2 linked regions of the Bombyx mori genome follow. The protein of the gene in region 2 interacts with the protein of the main gene of each other region in a biochemical or structural test. Links are inferred from orthologs where the notes say so. Each region holds a gene or a part of one and is shown on either strand. Other genes may lie near its edges.

What was found.
Region 1: the proteins of dihydrolipoyllysine-residue acetyltransferase component of pyruvate dehydrogenase complex, mitochondrial (region 2) and pyruvate dehydrogenase E1 component beta subunit form a complex in vitro, tested with the Homo sapiens proteins (2 studies listed by BioGRID and IntAct, with this or other methods). The link is inferred for Bombyx mori from reciprocal best matches to the Homo sapiens genes DLAT and PDHB.

The regions. Positions count from the first base shown.
Region 1 is NC_085112.1:15,809,756-15,814,279, forward strand, and holds the start of pyruvate dehydrogenase E1 component beta subunit, read right to left. Parts: upstream 3,124-4,524; 5' UTR 2,909-3,123; coding exon 2,700-2,908; intron 1,816-2,699; exon of another isoform or gene 1,562-1,815; coding exon 1,408-1,561; intron 372-1,407; coding exon 185-371; intron 1-184. UniProt on the Homo sapiens protein: The pyruvate dehydrogenase complex catalyzes the overall conversion of pyruvate to acetyl-CoA and CO(2), and thereby links the glycolytic pathway to the tricarboxylic cycle.
Region 2 is NC_085109.1:9,393,243-9,397,492, reverse strand, and holds the start of dihydrolipoyllysine-residue acetyltransferase component of pyruvate dehydrogenase complex, mitochondrial, read left to right. Parts: upstream 1-1,450; 5' UTR 1,451-1,565; coding exon 1,566-1,684; intron 1,685-3,222; coding exon 3,223-3,401; intron 3,402-4,016; coding exon 4,017-4,199; intron 4,200-4,250. Other genes in the region: RpL37A (ribosomal protein L37A), read right to left, coding at 369-497, 673-675.

The sequences.
Region 1 (4,524 bases), on a different chromosome or scaffold from region 2:
ATTCATATATTTTAATTTTTATTCAGGTACTGTTCACAATGATGAATGATGATAGTATTAAAAACGACATTCTTTGAATATATACAAATATATATAATCAAATGTGCACAGCTTGATGTTGTCAATTTATATATTTCCCTTAGATTCATTGGCTATGCATAAAATGACTAGGTGAACTGCTTACCTTTAGCATCCTCTGCTGAATAAGGCATTAGAACTTTAAGGCCTGGACAGTGGCTGTACCAGGCACCAAAGCACTGGGAATGTTGTGCGGCAACACCGGAGGCAGCTCCATTAGGTCCTCGGAATACTATTGGCACTGGTACTGTGCCAGCTGACATATAGAAGGTCTTGGCGGCTGAGTTTATTATCTGGAAGTGAATTTTTTTACTAATGTAGTTGGATTTTTCGGTTCGTATATGTGGATCATGACCCGCTTAGGCTTAAATCGTTGTGGAAACCATCACATTTTATGGATTCATCATAAAGTAATTATAGACTTTTATTTATTTATTTTTTATTGCTTAGATGGGTGGACGAGCTCACAGCCCACCTGGTGTTAAGTGGTTACTGGAGCCCATAGACATCCACAACGTAAATGCGCCATCCACCTTGAGAATAAGTTCTAAGGTCTCAAGTATAGTTACAACGGCTGCCCCACCCTTCAAACCGAAACGCATTACTGCTTCACGGCAGAAATAGGCAGAGTGGTGGTACCCACCCGCGCGGACTCACAAGAGGTCCTACCACCAGTAAGACTTGTCGTGATTATAGGTAGAAATTTTAATTACATTAGAAAATGGATAATCAAGTTTTAATCTGTAAGATGTAACCTTGTGGCGCTTTTATTTACTTTTTTAAAATTGACAATATCAACAGACAAATCTTTTCAAGTTATTTAGAAAGTTAATAATTATGGATGACTATCGGCCATATTTTTTTTAGTACATTCTTATCAACACATGACACACAAAAGGATTTATATTTAAACATGTATTTATGGGATTCATTACGTATCATTGTTTTAATCTTTTAAATTTTCGGAATTGTTGTCATAATGCAGTTTTATGTTTGTATTTTTTTGGTCTACCTATCTGCCAGTAGCCTCGAGGGCCTATTCAGCCTCCACTGTGACTGAGGTGGCTGAGGTCATGGACTTAACCTCAAAGAGCTTGGTAATAAAATCCATAGCAAGTGTTTCACTGAAAACAACCACACATTGAGCATTTCCAGAGAGAAACTCATTGGGATATCCCTTTTCTATATTTTTTGTTACATATTTGTTTATTTATATTTGTGATTTTTTGGTCATTGTCAACATTTGACATAACACCACCAATTGTGTCATGGACATTACGAGGATTTTGTTCATTAAATACAACTTATCAATTTTATCAGGACACTCACATGATCAATAGCTTGCATAGAGAAGTTAAAGGTCATGAATTCACAAATAGGCTTGAGCCCTGCAAAAGCAGCTCCAACAGCTATACCGGCGAATCCTGCCTCTGTGATGGGTGTGTCGATAACTCTTTTATCACCATATTTCTTCCATAGACCCCTAAAATTATTTGTTGGTTTTCATATCTTGTTCATCTTTTGTCATCACATGAAATTTATTATTTAATGATTGATTAGTGCTTCATGTAGTGTGCATTGACATTATTTAGAACCATGCTGGGGAAGCTAAAACTCACCTATGAGTCACCAACTAGATGCAAACTTAGTGCAACAGTAGGGAATTTATATTCATGTATTTATGTTAGTAGTAGAAATAGAGGATGTAGTAGTAGGATGTCTGTGTTCACTGAATAATACAATGTACACTTTAGATATAAGCCCATCTGATCATAGTTCGAAGTCACATGCAATAATACTTTTGGAATAAAAGTTACATGCCCAGATTAATTAATGTTACTTATCTGGCCTTTAACTGTGACGAGACCGGTACGCTAAATACTGATAGGCTTAGTTTATAATTCAGAGCTTAAAATATAAAGGTTGTAAACTTTAAGTATTCTATGTTTCTATTGTTTCATATTAAGAGAAGGCATTATAGCTGAGCATTAACACTTTTATATTTAAGTTTTATTTTGTCTGTTTAAAGAATTTAATGTTTTCATAATCTTCATGTATGAAGGAAGATATCATTCTAAATTTTCAGGATTAATGGCATTAAAATCTTATATGAAACAGCGTTCTTTTATATGATGATAGTTAAATGTCTGCACACACTTAAATATATTTTTTACTTTTGGATGTGATTTTTATTTTTCAGATTTTCAGAATTTTGTTCCAACATATTCGATAGATATTATCTAGTATAAATTACAGAAATTGTTTTAAACTATAAATAGGTTGAAAATATTATGTATTAATGAATTTCGATCCATTTTATATGATTTATATTTCATTGGTTAGCCAAATTGCATTCGGGTGTTTGTTTGTTTACTGCAGTCGTATCGACAGTACATCGACTGCACTATCGATTTGCTAACGATAACATTGAACTTGACAATCTGTCAACAAATGAATGGGTTATGTAATGATGAAACGAATTTGGATTACATACAATCTATTGTGAGCTTAATTGAGATAACAGAGAAGATTAAAATAGCAAATCAAGTTGAAATTTCAGCAATAACTAGTAAATATAATAGTCGACTGTTATGTACATACGATAGGTTAGAATGTTTTACCTTGTAACTTTGTAGGCACCATCGTATTGAGCGACTTCCTCTCCCAAAACGAAGACTTTCTCGTCTCTCTCCATCTCCTCGTCGATCGCTTGATTTAAAGCATCTCTTACAGTCACCGGCTTAGAAGCCAGAGCTTTCGATGTGGCAAAACTGCGACGGGATAATCGAGTGAGCATCCCGAGAACAGCCGGCGATGATTTTAATGCCATTTTAAATATAATGTCACTGTTAAATAATTTTTGCAACACCTAAACCAGCAAGGTGGTTTATTGGCGAGGTAAGATCTTAGTTTTGTCTAAAATGATATTAAATTCGCGAATGAACCGCGACGAAGGATGAATGGAGGTCGTTAGTGTATCCATTGAAGTTCGTACGCATAACGCATGACACTGTGACATTACAGTAGTTGTCAAATTTGTTAAATGTCAGAATTTTTCTTTGTACGATTGAAACTGAACTACGGTTTAATATTTAAACTTCAAATTTCAAAATATATTTTAAGCCGACAATTTTATTACGTTATTATCATTTTACTAGTAAGTCCATCGAGCTTAATCCTTTTATTTATGAAATCATCGATCATGTCATTCGATTTCTTGGATTCAGTACTTATTACTTAATTTTAAAATAGGAGTTTTTTCATAATAAAATTAATAAATCTGCAAAAAAAATTTTTTGTGTGATCAAACTTTTAAATTCGTTACTTTTCTTCGACTAAAATGATAATAAATGTTTCAGCTTATATGTATAGATGTCTCTACTAGAGAGAATTCAAATTCAGCACATGCATAGAAGTAATACTGTTCTGTGATCATTACAGAGATGGCGCTGTAAAAGGTAATGTACATCTATAGAATTAAAAAACACGAGACAAGTCATAAAATAAAAAGAGGGATTGAATGCGGCATTCTCGAAATTGGTTGAGGTATCTATCTTCCCTGGGACCTGGAAGCGGAGGCGCTCGCTGCGGATTACGCGTGGCGATGCGATCTCCGCTCTAGGGGGGAGCCGCGTCCCAGCGTGGCGGAAGTTCGAGCGCGTAAGCTTCAATCTCGGCATGCCGTGCTCGAGGCGTGGTCTCGCCGACTGGCGGACCCCGCCTACGGGCGACGGACCGTCGAGGCGATCCGCCCGGTCCTCTCGGACTGGGTGAATCGCGACCGAAGGCGTCTCACCTTCCGAGCGACGCAGGTGCTCACGGGACACGGCTGTTTCGGTCGTTACCTGCACCTCGTCGCCCGAAGGGAGCCGACGCCGAAATGCCACCACTGTAGTGGCTACAACGAGGACACAGCGGAGCACACGCTCGCGTACTGCCCCGCTTTCACGGAGCAGCGCCGCGTCCTCGTTGCAAAAATAGGACCGGACTTGTCGCTTCCGACCGTCGTGGCTACGATGCTCGGCAGCGACGAGTCCTGGCAGGCGATGCTCGACTTCTGCGAGTCCACCATCTCGCAGAAGGAGGTGGCGGAACGGAAGAGGGAGAACTCTTCCTCCCTCTCGGCGCCGTGCCGCCACCGCAGAGCCAGGGGTCAGAGGAGGGCATTTGTCCAGCTCCGGCCCCTATGAGGAGGTAGTCTCCTCCCGGTGATGGTCACAGGGCGACCTAAGGGGGTTGAGACTGCGCCGCACGCTACTGTCACTCTAGCGCGCTGGCACCAGGAGGTCGGGACGACGCGTTGCCGGCTGCGGACTGCGATGCGGTCCGCATTTTCGTCGTACTGTGGAAGAGCAACCCGGTCGGCAGTGACCGGGTTTTGACCCTGGACGGAGATCGGACGTCGGGTGTAAGAATGCAGGGGAGTCGCTTAGTGGGTGGGCCCTA
Region 2 (4,250 bases):
ATACTTAGTAGTACTGATCTTAGCAGGTTGATGAGAAATGTGCATGAAAAGTATTGTAGCAAATAGGTGTATAAACAATCTTCACAAAATAGCACAACACGGTTGAGATTACTTGCACTTTTCTTCCAACAAAAACAACTGATTTAATTAGCGAGCTCCCTAGCGACTTCTACCACTATCATTGAATTAACCTCAACATTTTATAAATATGGTTCCTTACAAGATTTATTTCTTTTTTTTTATTACTTGGATCTTAAGATTTAAAAGGTAAACATTTAATATAAATTGTTCTTGACCAATCTAAACAGATTCTTGATTACTTAGTGACTAATTAAATTAGTAACTTAGACCAAAAAAACGATACTAACCTTACCACAAAATGAGCAAGTATACTTTGCGTGTTGGGTTACTTCCATCTTTTTGACCATTTTACGTAGAGAGGCACCGTAACGTGTGCCATATTTGCCAGTAATTCCAACCTTTTTGGTACGTTTGGCCTGAAAAGCATTAAAGTTTTAACTTTTCCAAACACCGAACAGCAACCCCGACTACAACAGAACTACGTAAAATAACCATAATTTTAATATTAATTTACCACATACACTTAACTTAAGTATTTTATATACATGAGGACTGAAAGATTACTGAAATATTTTAAAATTTAATTCTCACCATTTTGGTAAACCTCTCCGATACAAAAGTTGACAGAGAAAAGAAAAACAGTTGTGACTTTGACGGCAAATGAATTTGTCAACAATTTATATTTTTGTTTTATTTGTCTTTGAGATAGGCAAAAGAAGCAACGCCCATACTACCAAATTATTAGTTTAAAGGCTAAAATCGATATCGTTAATTAGTGAGAGTTAACTAAAATTTCAACTAAATTATAAGAGCCCGACAAGCTTATTTTATTTTTTTATTGCCTAGGTGGATGGATGAGCTCAGCGAGCTGCCCACCTGATGTTAAGTGGTTACCGGAGCCCATAGACATCTACAATGTAAATGCCGCCGCCATCTTGAGTTAAGTTTTTTAAGTAATTATAGAGTAAAACATCATTTTAGTTATAGTTCGTATAGTTAAAAAAAAAAAATTGTTGTGAAGACATACTTCCTAACCGAGATTTTATCTTAATTTACATTTTTACATTTCATCACATCTCAGAATACAGAAAAAAAAAATATGTATTCTGTGCATCACATATACCACACAGTATAAGTTTCAAAATTACAAAATCGGAGAGAAAGCAGTTTTACAGCGCAAAATAAGATATTCTGTGAAAGGTCTTCCTGTTATTGTTAACCTTTAAAATAGTTATGATTTCTATTCTATAATTTTGCTTTACTCCAATATCTCTATTAGTTTTTTTTTCACCCATTTGTTAAACTCGTTCATTTTAATTTAAAAGAAAAAAATGTCTGACATCCAGATGTCATCAAATGTCAATCAAAACAATTGTCAAGTTTATCAACTCAACGACCTACAGATTGCAGAAGGTCGATCTCACGGTTTCCAAAAAACCGTCCCGCTCATCTGGACGGAATAGTTTTAGTAAAAAATATTGATAATGTTGCGAACAATTGTGTTACGGAATCAAATCTTAAGCGATGGTCTTAAGAAAGCTATACGGTCGAACATTACGAGGTGCATTAGTACAGAACTGGCAAAAAGGAAAGTTACGAATAAGTAAGTTTTTTCGAAATTAAATAATTTGATAGTATATTAATTAGACATTACGTATAATTAGTTATATTTCAAAATTAAGTGTATGTTACAATGTTTTGTAAACTATCCTAAATTGGCGCTGTAATTCGTAGTAGTTGCATAACCCACAACGTCAGTCGCTGCTCTTCACCTTGGCAGTTGTCATGGTTTTGCGATTAGTATGTACCGGCAATCACACGTGTCCGATGGTTGAAACTCAGAATTTGTGATTTAAAAAAATATCATATAAGTCTAATTCAATAATGTTTCAAGCATCAACAATTTGGCGAGCACAATCAATTTATCCATGATTCAGTGACATTCGATACATTTTATTATTTTTATTTGTAACTGATTAAATGTTAGGTGTGATCTGTTGTATCATTTATAATATATATATATATTTTAACAGCAAGTTAATAAAATCTGAAAATAAGTATAAAAACCATATTTGGATCACATTAACTAACCCAAAATTCTGATCTACCCTTAAGATCGTTTACTCTGATTAAAACAAGATAAATTTAAGAAATATACTTTTTTATGATATTTTAAAATTATAAATAAAAATAAAAATCAAAGTAAAGTAATTTCTATTTGCTACATATTGTAGTAAATTTTGACCAAAATAATTAAAATTAATTTAACAGACATAATAGAACATTCATTTATAATCTATGTTGAATATCCTATCTTTCTACTGAGTAGCTGTCTTTAAACTTTGAGGACTATAAAGTTAATATCATAACACCGTTCCAAGATTTTCTATACTTTAATAACATCAGTGATATAAAAATGTTAATTACTAACAAATCACTGCTCAAACACAGTGCTTAAAAGAAGCATGATTACTTATCTTTATGTGAATGGGATCATAGATACTTTACTTTAGTATACAATTTTTACCATTGGATGACTGATAATTCCTTGTCATTAACTTGTACAAAACTAGATTATTTTTTAAGAACATGACCTGATTTTAAGTATCACTGTATCTGATGATTTATTTTTATTTTTTATTGCCATAGCAGGCAATCGAACATACGGCCCACCTGATTGAAAGTGGCTACTGTAGCTCATGGGCATCAACAATGCTAGGGGTAGAGCCAAGCTGCTGCCTACTGCTAAATCTGATCTGTGATTGTCCAAAATATTTAAATGAATTCAATACTTTATTGAATCATAAATTTAGCCTACAGTAGTCAACAGATTTGATGTCAGTCCTTATTAGAAATGATAGTCTGAGGTTTGCTAGTAATCATCTTAGGAATTAATGGCAGTTTGATTGATGCTTACACTATACAACATTTGAGTCTTTAAAAAAAAAAAAACATTAAGTGATATTTAATTCATCTATGCAAACTATACATTTTAAATCTAGTAGTTCGGAATGGAGGTCATTAAAATGTATATTATATTTGTCATGGTTTTCCTTTTGCGGTCTAGACACAATAAAGAACTATTCTAATACATACTAAAATTACATATAAGAGTAACTATCATATTTTTATCATTCTCAGATTGTTAGAACATGCACAGAACCAGACAGTTCTATCTACACCACAATGGACTGTTCAGATGAGGTATTATTCGAGTCTACCATCACATATAAAGGTCAACCTTCCAGCTCTTTCGCCAACCATGGAGAGTGGTTCAATTGTAAGCTGGGAAAAAAAGGAAGGGGACAAACTTAGTGAAGGTATAGCTTGGAAACATGGTTATTAATAGGCTATTTTAGTGAATTTATTTTCTTTGTATAAAAATTAACAGTAAAGAGAATTCGATCTTTAATTTTGTAATTAATAACAAACAGGGCGTGAATAACTATACAAATATACTTGATCTATCTTAATTTTCAGGAAAAGTTCCTTTATACCTATACACAATTACACTAATTGTGTGCTACTGTTTCACTTACATTAAATGTGGTATATTAATATGGAAGTAGTTAAGATGTAATTGCACCAAAATATTCCATTAAAATTTGTTCACAACTTTTTGCATTTTGTTGAAAAGTATGTCAAAATCTATTCCAAAAACAAAGACAGGTGGCAAAACGGCAAGACTTATAATTCCTGATAGAATAAAAAAAATGAAAATGATTTTTATCAATAGCATTTGCGAACTGTCTTTTCTTTTACAATGGGAGAGTACAAATATTGAACTCTAAATGATAAAATGTATGCTTGGTTGGAAAAAGAAGAGAATATGTTGTTCGTGTTTTTCAGTGACCTGTATACAAACAATTACTGTTTTTTTTTATATAAAATTGTGTATTCATTTGGATTAATTTATTTGTTGTTCTACTTTATAGGCGATCTTCTGTGCGAGATTGAAACTGACAAAGCAACTATGGGCTTTGAGACACCTGAAGAAGGTTACCTGGCCAAAATATTGATTCCGGCCGGTACAAAGGGAGTGCCTGTCGGGAAATTATTGTGCATTATTGTTGGAGATCAGAATGATGTTGCGGCATTCAAAGATTTCAAAGATGACTGTGAGTATTGTGCATGACTTTTTAATAAATGCATGCAGCATGATATAGTTT